Linked DNA regions of Arabidopsis thaliana. The protein of the gene in region 1 interacts with the protein of each later gene in a pairwise test. Each region holds a gene or a part of one and is shown in the gene's direction. Other genes may lie near its edges.

Region 1 (3,871 bases):
ATGAAGAAATCGTGGGTTTCTGAACAGCTAGCTAAATCATAAAACACTGAGTGACTTGTAAAGCTTTGTCCTCATTAGAGATTTGTGGGACAGTGAAACATGGGCAGAGAATGTGTCTCACTTACTGTCCAATATAACTATTTTCTATTCAAAGATGATGGCTAATTAGGCAAGATCAAAGTCTTTTAAGAAAACTACCATTTTAGTTCTACCTCACCAATGATTTGACACAAACAATGTTTTTTTACAAATGATTTAACTTCACTTAAATATGAGTAACTAAAGAACGCAAAGTTTTTATTGGTTATAAGGTTAGTTATATCATCCTTGGCGGTCGAGCTAGGTTGAGTTTCCGCATGTCTTCATTAGTCGGGAGAATGTTTTGTTTCGAATGGCGTCATTAAAAAAACACACATGAAAGATGATGGTCGTGAGAGAATCTTCCCACGTTGTTCCAACATAATTAAAATTAGGAAATAAGAAAGTTCATAACTCCATTGCCAAGTTGCAAGTAGCTAGGAACGTCCCATGACACCTACGTAGAGACTAGAGAGATATACATACATCAAATATATCTACTTACACATGCATTGAAAAAAAAAAATACAAATACATTAATTAAATTATTGCATTCATGTAGACATATATGTTTTTCTAGATCTTATAAACACAGATTTTAATGTTTTTCAAAATACGATTATCAGAATTTTTTTTTCTCTGTATATTAGTTTGAGTTGAGAGATTTAAGGCCATACATATGATATATGCATAAAGTTTGCATATTAATGCATTTTTAGACAAGGAGCTTCAATAAACTATGCATATGACATCAAGACGTAACTGAATATGTAGCCCTAAGTCCGTAACCGAATTTGTTTATATTCGTGTGGTTGCAACTTGTGAGTAAATATGCATGCTGATTGCGTGAAGAACAAAGTAGCATTAAGTGCTCTCACGATATCAAAATAAAGTTTAGAACCATCGAAAAGGGCCATCTATCATTTTTATTTTGTTCTTAAAATCTAAAACATATATATTCGATCGGATATACCCATTAAATGAATGAATCATGTTCACATTAGAAGAATCACCATAATTGATCCCAAAAACTATATGAAACATATTCTCGTGAGTGTATAGACTTTTTGGAGATCGATATCTTAATTAATACATCTAGCACAACTCTATATATTCTTGCGGATTAACATCTAAATTTTACGTACCTCGAGCATATATATCCATTATCGACTATCGAGTATCGACTATCGGTTCGTCCAACACATTTAATTGTTGTAGGTTTGCAAGGTAGATATGGACAGTACCTCTAATTAAAGTTCTTTGTCCTTTCAAATTTATCCTCTATTATCATATTCATAAGAAGGAAAAAATAATTGCTCAAATCTAACTTTATAATATGCCCTTTCATATTTCACATGCACCCATATGGGACTTTTTATCATAATCAACATTTTAAAATATAAAATACCGAATGGAATAACAACAATACATCCTATATGTGAATGATAATGCATGCATTAATTATTAATTATATGTATATATACTAATGATGAGATCATAATTTCGATAGTTTAGAGAGAAGATGAGGCTGGAGAGCATGTGCTAAGAGCTTTCCATTAACCATCTAAACACTTAAATCTAATTAGTTTAGCCACATTTTGTTTTTTTGTAATTAAATTTCACATTTTTTTTATTTTAAGAAGAAGTTCAGATTTCAATAATTTGACGTCTTTCAATTTGAGCCGAATCAAACCGAACCGGATTAATTGTTATTTTTCTCAAGCAGCAACGATAAAAAAGATATCTAAAAGGCCCAAATAAGAAATTGAGAAAAGGCCCAAATAGAATTCGTGCGACTGTGGAATTTAGGGTTTTGCATCGAAGTTGGTTTTTAGGTATTAAGTGAGCGAGGCGTCGAAGCTAGGGGTTTGGGTAGAGTAGTAAGATGGCCAAGTACAACGAGATTGCGAAGAAGAAGAGAGAGGCTAAAGCCGATAGAAAACGAGCCATTCACGGCGATCCTCTCACCAATAAATTGAAGACCAGAACTCCGGTCCCCTCCGTCTCCGGCAAACGTCAGAGAAAGCTCCTTCGCAAATGGCGCAGAGTATGTAATTCCTTGATTTAATTGGTTTATTCTAAGATGGAGAATCACACTAGGTCATAGTCCTATGTGGGTTCATGTCTTTTGAGTAGTTATATAAGCTTTGAATGCAATTAGAGCTTCTGTTTTGAAAATATCAAGTGGTTAAAGTAGTTAAGAAAGAGTTGTTTGATTCGTCAACAGGAGCAGAAAGATATGGTGGAGAAGGGTCTTGTTACTATGGAAGATGTGGAGATGGCTTCTGCTCAAGGTATATCTTCACCCTGAAATAAAGCTACTCAGCTTTTGATGTGTTGATTGATCTCTTGACTTCACTTTGTTTACAGCATGAATGAAGTCTTGTCCTTAGAAATCTTGTTTTATTGCGATTGGGATTGCGAAATATCAGTTAGGAATCAACTCTCAATGCTTAGAAATGTATAGTATATCTTGAATTTGGTTATCAATGTAGACTTTGAACCTAAACCTGAAAGCTATTGGTCACATATTCATAGGAATGTCCTTTTTTTGTATTTGGTTTGTGTATCTCACGAAATTATTCAGCACAAAGGCTTGTTTGGAATCCTTTTGGTCTTGTGACTTTAAAATTTAGTTGTCTTGCTTAATTAATAGCTGATCTCTTCCGTCTGGTTTATCAGCTGCATCAGAAGACTCCAAGAAATCCCCCAGAAAATTTAGCGTTAAGAAGAGCTTGAAGTTGAACAAACTAAATAATAAAGGTAATCCTTAAGCTTTTGCCAGCCTCTGATATCTCATACTGTCTAAATAACTATTATCACTTGATTCAAATTTGCCGATAATGGAAAGTAACAAGATCTTTGCATACATGTACCAGGCAAAAAGAAGAAAAACCAGAAAGCCAGTGGTGAAAAATCTGCTGATTGTATGCTAGAATGAGTGTCGTGTATACCTGTAAACCCATTTCTTCTAACGGATGATAGAGGTTTCTCAATGTCTGGTTAGATTCTTTCAAAAATGTGAAACGTGTGTTTTTGCATCCGGAGGATGCGAAGCAGAGGAATGGAGGGTTTGATATGATTTTATTTAAGTTTTCCGAATCCTTTAATTTCTCAATCTAATTTTTGTCTTATCAAAATATCATATTTTGTATTCATTCTTTCTGGTATGTGGTGCCTTTGACGGAGAGTTAGAATATGGAGCAATTTGATAAAAACCCAACTCAATTTTCCTTTCTCTCACTGAAACAGCAAAATTAACCAAGTTAAAGTACCACTAATCCAAACTAAAAAAGTACCATTAATCCTAGAGCTTTTTCTAGGTGACGTTAATATAGTCGACGTTAGTCCTATGGTAACGTAATGTCCCAAGAGACTAACCACACTACAGAAATCTGAAGCCCTTGCAGATCTTATATGTTTTATTCTAAAGATGTTGAAGAGAGGACCATAACAAATACATGTATGATAATCAAACTTCAAACAGAGAAAGTACCAACTTAGGAAAAACCATAATATATACTAACATTAGATACTAATTCATAGATCCTTCATGACATTGTATGATAATCCTCATTGGATTTTTATTTACATTAAATTCTTAAAGCAAATAAAAAACAAACAAAGAAACCAAAACTCTACTGAAGCTGATTGAAAGGAGAAAGCTTCCATGCTGCCGAGCGCACGACCTTCCACTCCAATCCCATAAGAACTGAGCAAAACTCAAGTAACCATCGGAACTGGTTTTGCTCTAGGTAAACCCAGAGGCCAAGAACCGATTTTGCTCAGGGGA
Region 2 (5,434 bases), on another chromosome or scaffold:
TAAATATCTTTATTCGGTGAAAAAAATATACAGTATATTTCTTAGAAACTTTATAATAAGAATAAGGATTTTGTTTTTATATTTTCCTAAATTCCATAAATCTCTTAAGTTTACAAATTCATATATCTTTTAACATTTAAACAAATAACCAGACTTCTAGTAATATATATAAATTTATTTAGGGAGTGTTATTGGTTTGTGATGTATTCGAAGTTTCAGTGACTTAAAATGTTATGAAGAATTTGTTGTTATTCAATAAAGATTTTTCAATTTTTTGTTAAAGTTTGGTGTTATTAGTTTAAGATTTGTAAAAAGTAATATAAAATCTTCATAAATGTAGAGTTATTGGATTCATATTTTTATAAAGTTATTAAATTTTTTGTGTAATTCATTTAAAACAAAGAATCTATGATTATTATAATGAATTAAATTATTGTGTTATTGGTTTATGACTTTCTACCCTTTTTTTTATAAAATAAAGTTGTGAAAAATATCATACCCTTTTTTTTTACAAAATAAAGTTGTGAAAAATATCATAAAAATAAAGAAATTGTTTGAGAAACTTTACAAAATTATTAAAAACTAATCAACAAGTTTATTAATGACCTTAAACCAAAATAGGTACATATAATATTAGATAGATCATGCAAATGCGTTTGGTGGTTATGTTACTTTTGTATCATTTGATTGGCATGATGTTCTACATTTTTTTACCATTTCTCTATTCTTAAGTCGAAATCTTTAGGACCAAATAAGCATTTTTCCCTAAACTAACAAAGCAGCATCTCACTAGATGTTTTCCAATCAGATTTGCTTACTATAGTGTGCTAATATGAAATTTGAGTGACTCATGACAATGCATCAATCCAGATTAAGCATTAACATGTGATCAGCTAGCATTCATGAGAATATGAGAATTGTCTTCGAGCTAAAAGAAAGTAGACTCTTTTTTCACTTGAGAAACTCATGACATACTTTTTTTTTATATACATTTGTTTTTTGATGATTAGGTTAAACTTTTGTAATAAATAAATTTTTAGTTAAATAAATAAACTTCTATCATCAAAAGACTCGTGAGTTTCTTCCTATGTTGCAATGAAATGGAAACGAAAACGCGAATACGAAACGTTTCGGAAACGAGAAACGATTTTTTCTTAAAATTAGGGATTGGAAACGATTTTTTCTTAAAATTAGGGATTGGAAACGTATACACATACATACATATATATATATATATATATATAACATTAACATAAAACTATATTAAAGAAAAAATGGTTTAAACAATACAAGTCCAAAACATCAATATTAAATAAATAAACTAAAATTCTAAAAGATAAAAATTAAAAGGTTCAAGTTCAAATAGTTAATTTAGACCAACATTTTCATTTTCATTAGTTTCATCAAAGATAATATAAAGCTCTTTTCAAATCTGGTTTATCAAAAGAAATATCTTAAAACTCAAAGTCTTCCAAAATTAGTTATATGTATTAATAATTTTAATAATTTTAATTTTAGTTATTAAATTTTCAAAGTTGAAAAAAATTTGTCGTATGTCTATTTGGGAAACATGAGTTTCTATCTTTAAAACGTAAGTTTCCATCGTGTTTCCAAACATAAATTTTTAAAAAACGCGTTTCCGTTACGTTTTTCATGTTTCCGGAGAGTTTCTGTTTTCGTAACGTTTCGGAAATGGGAAATAGACCTCGGGGCGAGTTTCCATGCAACCTAGATTTCTTCTAACCAATAGAAATGCTCTTAAAAGCCTTTTTTTAAAAAAAATCAACAGAAATGCTCTTAAATGTTAAAAACAAATATTCATGCCAAATTTTGATGTAAAAATTTGTTATTTTCGCTTTAGTTGTGTCTTATTTCGGTCTGGTCATTTTCTCAAAGCCCTTTTAGTTATTTATATATATATTCTCTGTCTCGTATTTGTCCCCAAAAATCTAGGGTTTTAAGGTTTCTTATCCTTCCTCTTCCTCCGCCAGATTCTTTTCTTGCGAAGATGAGCAACGACAAGGACAGCATGAACATGTCCGATCTCTCCACCGGTAAGATATTATAATCTTATTGTCCTATAGAATGAGGCCTGGATTCTCTTTTGTTCTCTTGATTTATTGAAAAAAGCTTCTCTTGTTTTGTGTTTTGCTTATAGCTCTTAACGAGGAGGATCGTGCCGGGCTTGTTAATGCTCTTAAGGTGAGTTTTTTCTTCACGATATGATTTGCGTATGACTATCTGGAGATTGGGCTATTCATCTTTGTAACTTTTAGGGATTGTTTTCTCTTCCTGACTAGTTTTGAGAAATTGATTTGATTCTTATGGCTTAGAGAATTTGACTTTGGTTTTGAGGATTGTCTATGCATCTTAATTTGGTTGTTTGAAAGTTTGTGACTTTTCCTGATTTGATTTACGTGTTTGCTGCAGAACAAGTTGCAGAATTTGGCTGGACAACACTCTGATGTCCTTGAAAACTTGACTCCACCAGTCAGGAAGCGTGTCGAGTTTCTAAGAGAGATTCAGGTGAGTAAATTTTCAGCTTTTAGATGATCTTGGATTTTGTATTGGTTTTGAATTAGCTGGCTGTTCAGGTCTAATGAGTTTTTGGTGGAGCAAATTTATCTGATTCCTTTTGTATTTTAACCTTTGCAGAACCAATATGATGAGATGGAAGCAAAATTCTTTGAGGAGAGAGCAGCTCTTGAAGCTAAGTATCAAAAGTTATATCAGCCTTTATATACCAAGGTTTGAATACGGTCTTTGATTCTGCGAGATTCTTATGGTCTTTAGTTTCCTATTATTAGAATATCTTTGAAACACATGATGACACCTCAATTGATAAAGGTTTAATAAGACTTCTCTCTGTTGCTACTTACGTGAATGATTAGTGCTTCATGGTTTTCACTTCTTTCTGCATCATTCGTGATTGTAACTGATATTGATGGTCTTCTGCCTTCTGCATCACAGCGATATGAGATTGTGAATGGTGTGGTCGAAGTTGAAGGTGCAGCTGAAGAAGTAAAATCCGAACAAGGAGAAGATAAATCAGCTGAAGGTGTGTTTATCGATTCTTTTACTGAAACATGTTTATTTTTAGTATCTTATGATGATGATGGTGAACTCATGATTTTTATATGATATGAAACTGTCTTTCTGCAGAGAAAGGAGTACCAGATTTCTGGCTTATTGCATTGAAGAACAATGAAATTACTGCGGAAGAGGTTCGTTATTAGAATATTCTTCTTTTTGGTTTATAAAATGGCGATTCTCTTTATCATTATGTGGTTTTTTCCACGGTTTTAGATAACTGAGCGAGATGAAGGGGCTCTCAAGTATCTCAAAGATATCAAGTGGAGTAGGGTTGAAGAACCAAAAGGGTTCAAGCTTGAGTTTTTCTTTGATCAGAATCCTTACTTCAAGAACACTGTCTTGACCAAGACATATCACATGATTGATGAAGATGAGCCTATCCTTGAGAAGGCCCTCGGGTAATGTTTTGCTCTATCAAGTATTTACTGTTTATGTTCTGAAGACAATAAGTCTTTATTGACTGTCGTTTACTGCTGTTCAGGACGGAGATTGAGTGGTATCCTGGAAAGTGTTTGACACAGAAGATTCTAAAAAAGAAGCCAAAGAAAGGATCCAAAAACACAAAGCCGATCACTAAGACTGAGGACTGTGAGAGTTTCTTCAACTTTTTCAGTCCACCTCAAGTTCCTGACGATGATGAGGATCTTGATGATGACATGGTATTTCCATCTCCATAAGCAGTTTAGTTTTTAGAGTCAGTAATTAAGATTGTGTTGGATTTTAATCTGATCATCTAATATTCACAGGCTGATGAACTCCAAGGACAAATGGAGCATGATTATGATATCGGGTGTGTACCTTTCTATTTCATATTCAGTTCTCTTCACTTAGTTCAGTTCTAGGATCTGAGTCTGTCCACTGTTTATCCTGTAGTTCAACAATCAAAGAGAAAATCATCTCGCATGCTGTGTCATGGTTCACTGGTGAAGCTGTTGAGGCAGATGACCTTGATATTGAGGACGACGATGATGAGATTGATGAAGATGATGATGAAGAGGACGAGGAAGATGATGAGGATGACGAGGAGGAGGATGATGAGGATGATGACGAGGAGGAAGAAGCAGATCAAGGAAAGAAGAGCAAAAAGAAGGTAAATTATGTGGTTTTGTTCTACTTAAAACCTTCCTACATAGGAAACTAAAACCTCTGAAACTGATTTGGTGGTTTATCTTTTGTTTTGTTGCAGTCATCAGCTGGGCACAAGGTTTAACAATCAATCAATCTCGATCTTTTTTTTTTGTTGATAATGCAATGGCTAACCTGAGGTATCCTTTTTTAATGAACAGAAGGCTGGAAGAAGTCAACTTGCGGAAGGTCAAGCAGGTGAGAGGCCACCGGAATGTAAGCAGCAGTGAAGAAGTGAAGAATCTTGGCTTAGTTATGATGAAGAAGAAGAGTGAAGAGTGTCTTTGAGCCGAGGTTGTGTTTCTTTAATTTGCAGAGTCATGGTCCGGTTTATTATATATCAGTTTTGGGTGATTGGTTTGCTATTTAAAAAAAAAAAATGGGTTCTTTGGTTTGGTTTGTGTCTCTTGATTTTTCCTTTTGTAATGATCTTATGAATTTGTTTCGAGTTAATGTCGTTCTCTGGTCAGATTTCGAATTCAATTCTATTTATCCTCCCTCGTTAATGAGAGAATTTGTGAGACAATCTAGTTTACTTAAGATTGATCGAATTTTATAAACCAACATTACCAAACCGTCAAATAATTAAAACCAATCAATCTTATTTATCGGTTTGCATAACCCATCAATGAGCCGGTTTAGACATCGGTTTGAGTTTCTCTGGGAAAGACAAAAGTCAAAAACATCTCTGCCGACTTGTAAAAGACCGATCAACAGAAACCCAAAAAAAATAGTTGAAACGGAGGGAAACGAAAACCTAAAACCCTAAAAAACTCTTCCTTTTTTTTTTCCAGTGAAATTTCTCTTCTTCTCCGTTTTCATACAAGTCTGACTTCTGGGTAGTTGGAATTTTCCAGTTTTTGGTTTGTTTCTGTATCTGTGGTTTAAAAAAGTGGAGAAGAAGCTTTTTAGTGCTTTTCTATGGCGAGGATTCTCCGAAACGTTTATTCACTGAGAAGCTCTCTGTTTTCGTCAGAGGTATGTTTATCGTGTTTCTCATTTGGGTATTACGAGAAATTAAAAAAACTCTGTTACTGTCGTTTTCATTGCTTATTTGGGTATTCATTCATGAGAAAGAATCCGAAATGTTGTCTCTTAATTTGAATTCATTCTTTTTTTCTGGGTAATGTTTATTGACAAGGGTTTCATGGGGTTTTGCAGTTACTTAGAAGAAGTGTGGTTGGAACATCGTTTCAGCTCCGAGGCTTTGCTGCCA
Region 3 (6,195 bases), on another chromosome or scaffold:
TATATACATCCTGCCTCTAATGGACACTTGCTTTAACTTGAATTCTAAAGTTCTCGATCCGCATACGCCCAATCAACCACGATTATATAATTTAATATATGAAAGGCCATTTTTACATTGTAACTTGTAACAATAGAATAATATGAAAATAATCTATATAAGTCAATAAATAAAAGTTTTTACTTTAGAAACACATGAGCAAGCTTTGTAAGGCTAAGTTCCTTCCATCGTCACTAGTCTTCTGTTCATATCAGACAATCTCTTACATAAATGATGTACAACTCCGTTCTCTTTAGTCTTTTCCATGGAGTAATTCAACTCTTTTTTTCATTCTATCTCTAATCTTCTAATATGGTACCATAGTTCCAAGTATAATTACCCGACATATGATTTCTCATAGTATACATATATAGTCAGTGGCGGATCTAGAACCATAATTAACCCGAGGCACAACATATTTATAAATTTTTAAAATAAAGTACAATATGAACATTTCTTAAAAGACATGTAAATGGAAGAAAATTTTTTGAAGTGTCAATCAACATTGGCAGTACCTTATATTAGCATAATTCCTTCAAACAGTTATAGAAAAAGATAAATAAAGTAAAAATAAGTTAAATACTGAAAACATTTATTACTTGAAAATAGTAAAATTAATGAGTAATAACCAACTGACTAGAAAAAAAGTCACTCTAACATGGGGCACAACAAACGAATTCTTTCATCTACAATACAAATTGCACAACAAACTTCAAAATTATCAAATCTTGCATGGGGCACGTGCCCCAGTACTTATACACTTGCGTCCGCCAATGTATATAGTCCGTTTTGTAGTGATATGTCCGAGACAATGAATATCTCACATTACAAATGAAAATACAAGGTATATAGATCTTTCCACTTTATTTTAAGTTACAAACAAACCCGTGATTCCTGATATAAATATGTGTAATGGAATCCGAATTATGATGTCCATTAGTACGATGATGACCATTAATTAAACTAATACAACTTGCTTTGTTAAATGTATGTTTTTGCATAAATGTGTACAATCTATATTTAGTTTTTGAAACAGTTATATAAAATTTGAATGTCCCTATAGTAGCTTACACTAATATAGCTCTATACACCAACGATCGAACTATCGAAGAAAATTCTTGAATAAACCAGTCAAAGACGTCCACAAGGCACAAATATTATATACGGTGTTGAAGAAAGCAATAGAGAGAGGTCAACGCTTTCCTCCAATTTGTTAAACAATGTATAAACTTTACGTCAAAAAAGTCAAAACCATTCCCTTGTTGCTTATTGGTCATTTTCCGACCTATACGATAATCTTATTGTTTCTCTACGATATCTTTCTGTTGCATTAACTATTAAGCCACACGCAAAGTCGTTTTACATTAACGTTAGTTTAATTAGATAACGTTAGTTTAATTAGTATTATTTCTACAGAGTAATTGCTTTCGAAACTTTTGAAAACAATGTGCCATACAGGTTGTTCAAACATGGTTAGATAGATGCATAAAATTACAAAAATTATATAGAGAGAATATTAAATCACTTAACCATTGTATCATGAGGAGATAGCTTGAAAGCCCTGACAAAGAAAGAGGGTTCATAAGTTACCTAAAAAAGAAAGAAAGAGAGCTCATAATATTTTCATCAAAGTAAAAACTCAATGTGGATAACCGTCACATCAAGACGAGGCAGATACTAGATTGAGCAAAATTCTCCAATGAAATCACAAATGTTGAAGCACTTTAAATTTGGAGATTTCACTGCTTTTTCACTCTTAGGGTGGCTTACATTTATTAAAGTTAAGGTTATGGGGAAAAAATATAAACTTTCTTAAGCAGGGTTGAAAACGCAAAAACATAAAGAATGCACGTCGTTGTTAGTTATTTTCTCCCAAATGCGTGTGGTTTTATTACTTTTCAAACGGCAAGTAAAAAAGTCTTATAAACGACGTCATTTAGTCGACTTGATCTCTTTTGTAAGTCATCACATCTTTGGGTCAATCACGAATTTGGAACATCCGGTTCCAAATTACGGATTACACAGACCCTAGCCTCTTCCCCAAATCCCAATTCTCCATTGCTTTAGAAGAATCACACAATGGATCTAGAGATTGTTGGTCGTCACGCTCTCTTTTTCGACGATGATTCGATGGCAACGTTTGTCAACTCTCCGACGGCGCTCGTTGACTGGAACAGCCTCTTTATTGACCGCTACGATGTTCGTCATCTCCTCTCTTCTCCTCCTCCTCCACGTATCAAACGCCGTCGTCCGAATTCAAACGATGCTGACTTGGAATCGGAGCTCGATCACGAGCGTTATCTAGATTTACCGTCGGAATCTCCATCTCCGTCGGATGATGATGAACACGGTAAGGATGATGAACTCCGTAGAAATCTCCGTTAATCTATATGGTAGAGAGACTCGAACTAGCTATGTTAGAGACATAAAACTGTTCTAGAGAATGATTACGAAAAATTCAGATCGAAACTTAATTTGTTTGCCCTTTGGATTTGCTTTACTCTCCAGATATGAATGAGGATTCAGCAAATACAAATGCGGATGGTTATCGTGCTGTCTCTTTTTCATATGGAAGCTCTAGTGATGTCAATGACCAGAAAAATGCTGCTGATATGGAATCTGGATTTCACCCGCCTTTCCCCGTGCCTGATTACTTACGTCAAAACCTGGTAAGTTATTGCTTTAGATTGTTCCCTTTAGCAGTATGCTAGTTTTTGCTAACTTATTTGGTACTTAAACTGATATTGGCCACGTAAACATCTGAAAGGTGCATTTGTTATTCTAAGGACTACTATGTCTAAGTTTCAGATGCTCGGAGAAGAGATGGAGTTGTCTAAGGTTGTCATTCACATGCACCTTGTTTCCTTTTGCTGCCATGACAAGGGGCAGTGCAGGTGGGATTAAGATGATAAAAATTCATGACTTACCAAGAACCTTAAAACTGATTGCACACCAGATGATGCATTTCTATACAGTTCTGAATTTTGCAATTTATGGTTCTCGATACTTATGTGAGGTTTTATTATGTATATATACCTGCGAGTTGCCAAAGGTGTCATTCATCATATTTCACATTACTAATTTTTTCTTGTATATTTTTTTTCTCTCTTCTTTCAGCCTCCAACTGAGAAATTACATCAGATTATCACTAGGACTTCAAGTTTTGTAAGCAAACACGGTGGGCAATCTGAAATTGTCTTGAGAGTCAAACAAGGAGACAACCCTACATTTGGGTTCCTAATGCCAGACCATCATCTTCACCTTTACTTTAGGTTTCTTGTTGACCATCAAGAGCTTTTGACAGGAAAGTCTTCTGTAGAAGAGAAAAAGAACGAAAGTGAGAAGGATGGTGGAGCTTTGTCATTGCTTGGTTCGGTTTATGGGACTGTAGAAGATGAAGATGCTAACGAAGAGTCTGCAAACGACTCCAAAACAAGTGAGTCCGCCAAAGGTGATGATGGTGTTAAGGTAACTGATTCCAATGGACCTGAAGGGTCGAAAGGAGCTGCAAAGATTGCCTCTAAGCATTCTCTGCCGTTGAATGATCATGCATCTTTCATAAAAAGAAATCCCTCTGTCAGCGCAGTAAATGTTGTAGAGAAGAAGCAGATCAATACAGAAAAACTTGTGACGTCTGATAAGTCGCAACCCAAGCTTGAACTGCAGATTGTGGAGCCGACTACTGAGATGAAAAGAGTGATTGATAAGATAGTAGACTTCATTCAAAAGAACGGGAAAGAACTAGAGGCTACTCTTGTTGCACAGGATGTGAAATACGGGATGTTTCCATTCTTACGTCCATCTAGCTTATACCATGCATATTATCGGAAGGTTCTCCAAGAAGCCGAAGAGGTAATTCTGTTTCAAGTTCTTAAAATGTTCCTGCTACAAATTTGGTGTGTTTTCACGTGCTTTTTAAACCTTGTGATTGTAACTTTCACTAAAATGTAAAACGTTGGTTGATTTCATATGCAGTTAAAATCAGGTGACAAAGGCGTTATTATCAGAAAAGAAGACGTGAAGCAAGAGAAGATGGGCAATGCTGTAAAAGATAGCAAACACGGGTTTGGGAGTGTTTTACCAGATGATTCTGCCAAGAAAGAGAAACTAAAAATGGTTAGTGACAAACCAAAGGTCGAGTTGCACAATGAACCATTCAAGCCTGTCCAACCGCAGATGAGGGTCAATGTGGATGCGAATACTGCTGCTGCTATTCTTCAAGCGGCTAGAAGAGGCATAAGGAATCCCCAGTTGGGGATTCTAACAGGCAAACCCATGGATGAGACTTCTCAGACCCTTGGAAATGATGTGAGTTACCCTTCATCTAAGTCCCCTGATTTGGCCAAATCTACAGGTCAATCACTCTCTGGCTCGACTGCTGCTAGTGAAGCTGATTCTTCTGAAGCAGGCTTGTCTAAAGAGCAGAAGTTGAAGGCAGAAAGATTGAAACGTGCAAAAATGTTTGTGGCCAAGTTAAAACCTGATGCGCAGCCAGTTCAACAAGCTGAACCGTCGCGAAGCATATCAGTCGAACCGTTGGACTCTGGGATTTCTGGATTAGGTGCTAAGGCTGCCAAAGAAAGAGACAGTAGCTCGATTCCATATGTAGCTGAGTCAAAACTAGCGGATGATGGTAACAGTGAAAGACGATCAAAGAGGAATTACCGTTCGAGATCACAGAGAGATGAAGATGGTAAGATGGAACAAGGAGAAGAGGAAGAGAGCAGCATGGACGAAGTTACAGAAGAAACCAAGACTGATAAGAAGCATTCATGTAGTAGAAAACGGCATAAACATAAGACACGATACTCTTCCAAGGACAGACATTCTCGGGACAAGCACAAGCATGAGAGCTCCTCAGATGATGAGTATCACAGTCGTTCGCGTCATAGACACAGACACAGCAAATCTTCAGATAGGCATGAGCTTTATGATTCTTCTGATAATGAGGGTGAGCACCGACACAGATCCAGTAAGCATAGCAAAGACGTTGATTATTCTAAGGACAAGCGTAGCCATCATCACAGATCCAGGAAGCATGAAAAGCACCGTGATTCATCTGATGATGAACATCATCACCACCGACACAGATCCAGTAGACGCAAGCACGAGGACTCTTCAGACGTTGAGCATGGTCATCGTCACAAGTCTAGTAAACGTATAAAGAAAGATGAGAAAACAGTGGAAGAGGAGACTGTTTCAAAGTCAGATCAGTCTGATCTTAAAGCATCTCCTGGAGATAACATCCCGTATCTGCAAAATGAACCATCTCAAGTTTCGGATGAGCTAAGAGCCAAAATCCGTGCCATGTTAGCTGATACCTTGTACGTTTCTTCTAACTGAACGACTCTTGAAGACTTTCTAGTTCTATTTAGGTGTCTACTAGTATTAAGTTGACAATGTCAATGATTGGGTCTGATCGATTAGCGGGTTTGTTCGGTTTTCAGGGGAGATGGTCGGTGAGCATCTGAAGCATAAAGGTCACCGATGTTGCCTACGAGAAGAAGAGTTGTAATATTAAATTTTAATGTATTTTGCAAACTATTTACGAAATTACTCTGAAAAAGACCTTTTAAAGAAACCTTTTTAATCTGTGCATTTGCAAACTATAAACCTTTTAAAGAAAAATCTGTGCTTTTGTTAATCAGTTAATCATCAGACCTTATCATAGAAATTTATTTAGTAGCCAATTTGCATTACAATATTACTAAAAGAAACTTGATTCACACTTATGAGACGTTTTTTGCATACATCATTATCATCCCCACGTAAGGTGTACGACGTACTTTAACTTCTGAAATGGTGCCGCTCATCGACGAAAGTGTTCAGCACAAATCTGGCTATTATGTAAAAAACGTCTTTTGAGATGCTTGGAAGTAAGGGTGAAGATAAGAGTGAGTTTTTTTTTTCACTTTGTTGACGTAATAAAGAAAGAAACTCTACAAAGAAGATATAAATTGTTTGTCAATGTCATAGACTGACTCATAGTGCATTTACTTGAAGTTTACCCTTATCGGTCGAACCTTACTTAGCCTCTCTTCTCGATTGAAAAGGCAATAATATTATTCAATAAAACTTCTTTTTGGGATCGAATCTATCTTTTTAGACTTTTCTATCTATGTTCTACAATTTCATTGGCTAATGCTTTGTTGGATG
Region 4 (5,349 bases), on another chromosome or scaffold:
GAAAAGGGAGGAGAAACATGGTTGTACGTATCAGACTGTCGAGATTTGGATGCAAAAATCGGCCATTTTTTAGGGTTATGGCTGCTGATAGCAGATCTCCAAGAGACGGGAAGCATCTTGAGGTCTTAGGTTACTTCAATCCTTTGCCAGGTGATTGACAAAACAAAATGTATTCCAATTGGTGTTGTTCGTAGAGTTTTCGATTAAAATACACGATCTCTTGGTCTATGTGTTCAGGCCAGGACGGTGGTAAGAGGATGGGTCTCAAGTTCGATCGAATTAAGTATGTTTCTTCTCATCTAATTCTCTAGTTTCTTATGTTTTTTTCGGTAAAATCAGGTAGGTTTTGGGTTGAATTTACTCAGAAAGAGGTCTCTGAATGCTTCACTAGATGATTAAGGCTTTTCTGCATTTGAAGTGTTTTGGTTAATTGCTAAAGTTAGCTTCTAGCCGCCTCTAGATATCTTAATGCATTGTTGTATAGTCAACATTGTGTTATAGTTAACTATCTTTCGATCTGATACAAAGGAGCTGAGTTCAGTCTTTGAATGGTTTTTGTTATCGAAAGGCGAATGAATCTACATGTTTCCCATGGTTGGTTTTGATCACTTTCTTTCTCTTCATGGTATTGAACCATTAGTTGAAGCAATTTTCTACCTCATTTAATCACTAACTTATGAAAGGAAAAACTGAAATATTTGTGGAAATTCATCAACAAGTTTTGTTATATAACAAATGAAACTTCTCCGCCAGTCTTGAGTCTTTCTATGGAACTTCTGCTCTGAGTTCTGGAATTGTTTCTTATTAGTGTAAGATGAAGAACCTGTTGATTATCTATTCGTATACACACTTACTTACATTCTTAATTGTTCACCATATACAACCTCTTTTGCATAATTGTATGGTCATGTAGCTTTAGAATCTTGTCATGCTCTTTATCATCATCTAAAATTAAGATTATAATGTCCGGATATTAGAAGAACACATGTCAAGACTACTTAAAAGTTAGATCCTGGTCTGTCTTTCTTTTGTTCTGAATGACTAGTTTCAACAGAGGATGCATATAGTTTGATTAATGGACATTTTGTTTGATTCTCTTGTTCTGTACAGGTACTGGTTATCTGTTGGTGCTCAGCCATCAGACCCGGTTCAACGTCTCCTATTCAGATCCGGTTTACTTCCTCCTCCTCCAATGGTGGCTATGGGACGTAAAGGTGGAGCACGAGACACACGCCCAGTTGATCCGATGACTGGTCGCTATGTGGATGCAGAGAATAAAACAGTTAATGCCAATGATAACCAGCCTAAGGAAGAGGATACAGAAGCCAAGAGTGCATGATTCATTAGCCTTCTGTCATCGTAGCTTTTCAAGTTCACTTTGTTGTCGATTATATTGTGTAATGCAGCATTAGACAACTGACTTGTTTCCTTTGTTTGGCGATAAACGGCAAGGTGTTTGGCACTTTTTGCAGAAACGGCACATATTTTGCATTGGGATATTTTAGATTTTAAAAAATGAAAAAGTAAATAAAAATGCCAGCGAGGGAATTAAAAAAAAAAGAATGGCAGTTGTTAGGTTTAAATTTTATAAAGGAGGAAGCCACGTTTTGCGTTTAGTCGCCACCCAGAAAAAACCCTCAAGTCTTCTTCTTCTTCCTCAATCTCTCCACCTCTTTTCAAACCTTCTTCACACTCTCTCTCAATCAATCCTTTTTCTTCTCAAATCTTTCAGTTTTGATCTCTAAATTTCCAGAAAATGAGCAACGATAAGGACAGTTTCAATGTCAGCGATCTCACTTCTGGTAAATCTATATCTCCGATTTTGTTTCTGCGGCTTTGCTTCTTCTTAGTCAAAGTTTTAGAAGCTTTTTTGTTTGTTTGCAGCTCTTAAAGATGAGGATCGAGCTGGTCTTGTCAACGCTCTTAAGGTGAGTTTCTCTATCTCTTCTTATATCGATTTGCATTATACTTGAAGAGGAACATGTAATTTGGGCGTTTCGTCATTTTATAGTTTCTGTGGAGATTTTTTTGTAACTGTTATGTGTTTGATTCACAGAACAAGCTCCAGAATCTAGCTGGACAACATTCTGATGTGCTCGAGAATCTGACTCCTAAAATTAGAAGGCGTGTTGAGGTTTTGCGGGAGATTCAGGTTTGGGAAAACTTCCATTCACTTTTTATGAGCTCTATGCTTATGTTGTGATTAACGTTTCCTATATAAGCTTTTGTTCAATAGATTGGTGTAGATTGATATGGTATCTTGTGAGTATGATGTTGAAATGTATATTTGTATGCTTTTGATTATATGAGAATGCTGTGCATTCTTTTGATGATTATCTGAGAATCCTTTTCGTTTTTTAGGGCAAACATGATGAAATAGAGACAAAATTCCGCGAGGAGAGAGCTGCTCTTGAAGCCAAGTATCAAAAGTTATATCAGCCTTTGTATAACAAGGTAATTTGGTTGTAGCAAGATTAAACTATTTTGAAAAATTTAGTTATCCTGTATTTTCTTTATTTCCAGCTGTGTTGGCTTTAGTTAGCTTCGAATTTCTCTTGACACTGGCTTGACATTTGGAATGTGCAGCGTTATGAGATTGTGAATGGAGCTACTGAAGTTGAAGGGGCTCCAGAGGATGCTAAGATGGACCAAGGAGACGAGAAAACTGCAGAAGGTACTCTCTCTCTCTCTTTGCCTTTGTAAATTGTAATCATTCTTGCAAGAAAAAAACAATTTGCTTATTTCACCGGGCTGGATTGCAGAGAAAGGAGTCCCTAGTTTCTGGCTGACTGCTCTGAAAAATAATGATGTTATATCTGAAGAGGTTGGTGTTACATCTATGATTGTTCATTTAGAGTTACTTAATCATATCCATGGAAATTGACCAGAGTTTTAATTTCTTTTGATTTCAGATCACAGAGCGTGATGAAGGAGCCCTTATATATCTTAAAGATATCAAGTGGTGCAAGATTGAAGAACCAAAGGGATTCAAACTTGAGTTTTTCTTCGACCAGAATCCTTACTTCAAAAACACCCTATTAACAAAGGCGTATCATATGATTGATGAAGATGAGCCTCTGCTTGAGAAGGCTATTGGGTAATTGTTGATAACTTTTTTGTAATATTTATTCCCTAGCATATTTTGTTCTGAGATTCTTCCAAGGAGCTGCGGAATCTTGTACTGACTTATGCACTAACATGGATTTTGATTCTTTGTTCTTTGTCTCAGGACAGAGATTGATTGGTATCCTGGAAAATGCTTAACTCAGAAGATTCTTAAGAAGAAGCCTAAGAAAGGTGCAAAGAATGCCAAGCCAATTACCAAAACTGAAGATTGTGAAAGCTTCTTCAACTTCTTCAATCCTCCCCAAGTTCCTGATGATGATGAAGACATTGACGAAGAAAGAGTATGATATCATTTGGTTTTAAGACAGGCCCTATTTTGACTATGTTTGATTATACTTTTGTAGTAATGTTTTCTGTTCTTGGTGCAGGCCGAGGAACTTCAGAATCTGATGGAACAAGATTATGACATTGGGTTCGTCTTCTTGAACATAAACTCTGTCAATTTAATATATTCCGTCTAACTTATTACCAACTGTATAAGAGCTCTAGCTAGCATCTTTTATCGGAAAGTTAATACATTATTTAGTATCTGATTCAAGTATTCCTTGCTTCTTGCAGTTCTACAATCCGGGAGAAGATCATACCTCATGCTGTCTCATGGTTTACTGGTGAGGCTATTGAGGGAGAGGAGTTTGAAATAGACAATGACGATGAAGATGATATCGATGAGGATGAAGATGAGGATGAAGAAGATGAAGACGAAGATGAGGAAGAAGACGACGAAGATGAGGAGGAAGAAGTAAGCAAGACCAAAAAGAAGGTATTGGATTCCTCTTGTTTCATTTCTTCTTGTCATGGAATTACCTTTTCTGAGTTAGTTACTAACTTTTTGATATTGTGTTGAATGTTTATGCAGCCATCAGTCTTACACAAGGTACATAGCCATATTCCACCCTTCTTATAGTATTTGTCTGAGTTAATTAGATAATCCGATACCAATGAGTCATACAACGGTCATAAACTATTGACATTTATAGGCTAGACCATGATCTAAAAAGTAGAGAACATGACCCGTGAATTAGGAGATAGCTGAAATTAACTGATTAAGCTCACTATGCACGAATCTGTGAATCATAGAAACTTGAACTCTTATATGACTGAGAATTATAAATGAAACTATGTAGAATCCTTCTCATGCATATTTATAAGCTTAGGCTAAATCTAGTACTTGCAAACCATTGTGCTATGTTTGTGATAATGAGATGGATTCTATAGTCATACTCTTTTTGAAATCATATTGCAGAAAGGAGGGAGACCTCAGGTTACCGATGATCAACAAGGAGAGAGGCCTCCTGAATGCAAACAACAGTAAACAAAATCGAAAAGTCTAAACGAAAACCAGTAAAAGAAAAACAAATGTTTTGGGTTTTGAGTGAAGTTTCATGGCCTAGTTTTTTGCTTCCATGTAAGGCAAAATGTTTTGAAGACTGCTCATAGGAATGTTGCTGTAGGCAAAAGAGTGAGTTTCTCCATGTGGAGATACTTGATAAATTATTTTTGGTGCATTTGTTTTTTTTTTTTTTAATCACTAAGTTGAATTTTGGTGTGTTCGTCAAAATTATATCTTTTTACCACTTGAATTAAGTCTCTTTTGGTTTCTTTAATTTAAAAATAAATAAATCTTATCATTGTTTTTTTTGTGTGGACATAAGTGTATTATTCTTATTGTAAACCAAGAAAAAAGAACAGAAAGAAATTTGTTTTCATGTAGTTTCTTCTTCAATGGGTCGATTAGTATTTCATTATGGTCAAAGTCAAATTAATCACACACCGTGACCATTAGCAATTTAGCATTAGTGAGTGTCGTTATTCGTTAATAAATCAATTAATTGAGTCATTTAAATAGTAAACGTTAAAATCAAAGATGCACACGAAAGGGACTCTTTCTATATACAGAAAAAAATATATGTACTTGTTTTAATAGTTGATTTTGACTCCAAATGGAATTTGCTGATTCTACCAAACAACGGTTTTGGATTAATGCGTATTTGTTTTTGAATATTTTGCTTCACCGTAACAAATCATGTCCTCTCAAGGACTGAAGATTCTTTTATCAGTTAATTACAAATACAATTAGTGCTAATGAATCATTTCACATTACCCTGAGGTTATCAAACTATTGACTTCAAATCTTTGTCGTCCATTGACTTTTTTTTTTTTTACAGCTTTGTCGTCCATTGACTATAAATGTTATATTGGAGTATTGTTTAAGCGTGATTAATT

Evidence for each region.
Region 2: the proteins of AT1G08580 (region 1) and NAP1;2 interact in a two-hybrid assay, tested with the Arabidopsis thaliana proteins (one large-scale study listed by BioGRID).
Region 3: the proteins of AT1G08580 (region 1) and AT5G55100 interact in a two-hybrid assay, tested with the Arabidopsis thaliana proteins (one large-scale study listed by BioGRID).
Region 4: the proteins of AT1G08580 (region 1) and NAP1;3 interact in a two-hybrid assay, tested with the Arabidopsis thaliana proteins (one large-scale study listed by BioGRID).

What each region holds. Positions count from the first base shown.
Region 1 is NC_003070.9:2,714,444-2,718,314, reverse strand, and holds AT1G08580 (uncharacterized protein), read left to right. Parts: upstream 1-1,782; 5' UTR 1,783-1,963; coding exon 1,964-2,125; intron 2,126-2,305; coding exon 2,306-2,372; intron 2,373-2,760; coding exon 2,761-2,841; intron 2,842-2,957; coding exon 2,958-3,019; 3' UTR 3,020-3,321; downstream 3,322-3,871.
Region 2 is NC_003071.7:8,436,593-8,442,026, forward strand, and holds NAP1;2 (nucleosome assembly protein 1;2), read left to right. Parts: upstream 1-1,863; 5' UTR 1,864-2,008; coding exon 2,009-2,054; intron 2,055-2,158; coding exon 2,159-2,202; intron 2,203-2,430; coding exon 2,431-2,526; intron 2,527-2,655; coding exon 2,656-2,748; intron 2,749-2,970; coding exon 2,971-3,058; intron 3,059-3,162; coding exon 3,163-3,224; intron 3,225-3,306; coding exon 3,307-3,491; intron 3,492-3,574; coding exon 3,575-3,752; intron 3,753-3,839; coding exon 3,840-3,883; intron 3,884-3,966; coding exon 3,967-4,183; intron 4,184-4,279; coding exon 4,280-4,297; intron 4,298-4,379; coding exon 4,380-4,448; 3' UTR 4,449-4,909; downstream 4,910-5,434. Other genes in the region: RECA2 (recA DNA recombination family protein), read left to right, coding at 5,140-5,196, 5,380-5,434. UniProt on the Arabidopsis thaliana protein: May modulate chromatin structure by regulation of nucleosome assembly/disassembly. May function in nucleotide excision repair (NER). Involved in somatic homologous recombination.
Region 3 is NC_003076.8:22,360,588-22,366,782, reverse strand, and holds AT5G55100 (SWAP (Suppressor-of-White-APricot)/surp domain-containing protein), read left to right. Parts: upstream 1-1,958; 5' UTR 1,959-2,118; coding exon 2,119-2,389; intron 2,390-2,547; coding exon 2,548-2,708; exon of another isoform or gene 2,709-3,156; coding exon 3,157-3,891; intron 3,892-4,014; coding exon 4,015-5,382; 3' UTR 5,383-5,486; coding exon of another isoform or gene 5,487-5,502; 3' UTR 5,503-5,667; downstream 5,668-6,195.
Region 4 is NC_003076.8:23,030,862-23,036,210, forward strand, and holds NAP1;3 (nucleosome assembly protein 1;3), read left to right. Parts: upstream 1-1,587; 5' UTR 1,588-1,756; coding exon 1,757-1,802; intron 1,803-1,884; coding exon 1,885-1,928; intron 1,929-2,056; coding exon 2,057-2,152; intron 2,153-2,361; coding exon 2,362-2,454; intron 2,455-2,586; coding exon 2,587-2,674; intron 2,675-2,762; coding exon 2,763-2,824; intron 2,825-2,912; coding exon 2,913-3,097; intron 3,098-3,229; coding exon 3,230-3,407; intron 3,408-3,494; coding exon 3,495-3,538; intron 3,539-3,684; coding exon 3,685-3,886; intron 3,887-3,982; coding exon 3,983-4,000; intron 4,001-4,369; coding exon 4,370-4,438; 3' UTR 4,439-4,832; downstream 4,833-5,349. Other genes in the region: AT5G56940 (Ribosomal protein S16 family protein), read left to right, coding at 18-150, 238-283, 1,111-1,339. UniProt on the Arabidopsis thaliana protein: May modulate chromatin structure by regulation of nucleosome assembly/disassembly. May function in nucleotide excision repair (NER). Involved in somatic homologous recombination. Could be involved in response to abscisic acid (ABA) and to salt stress.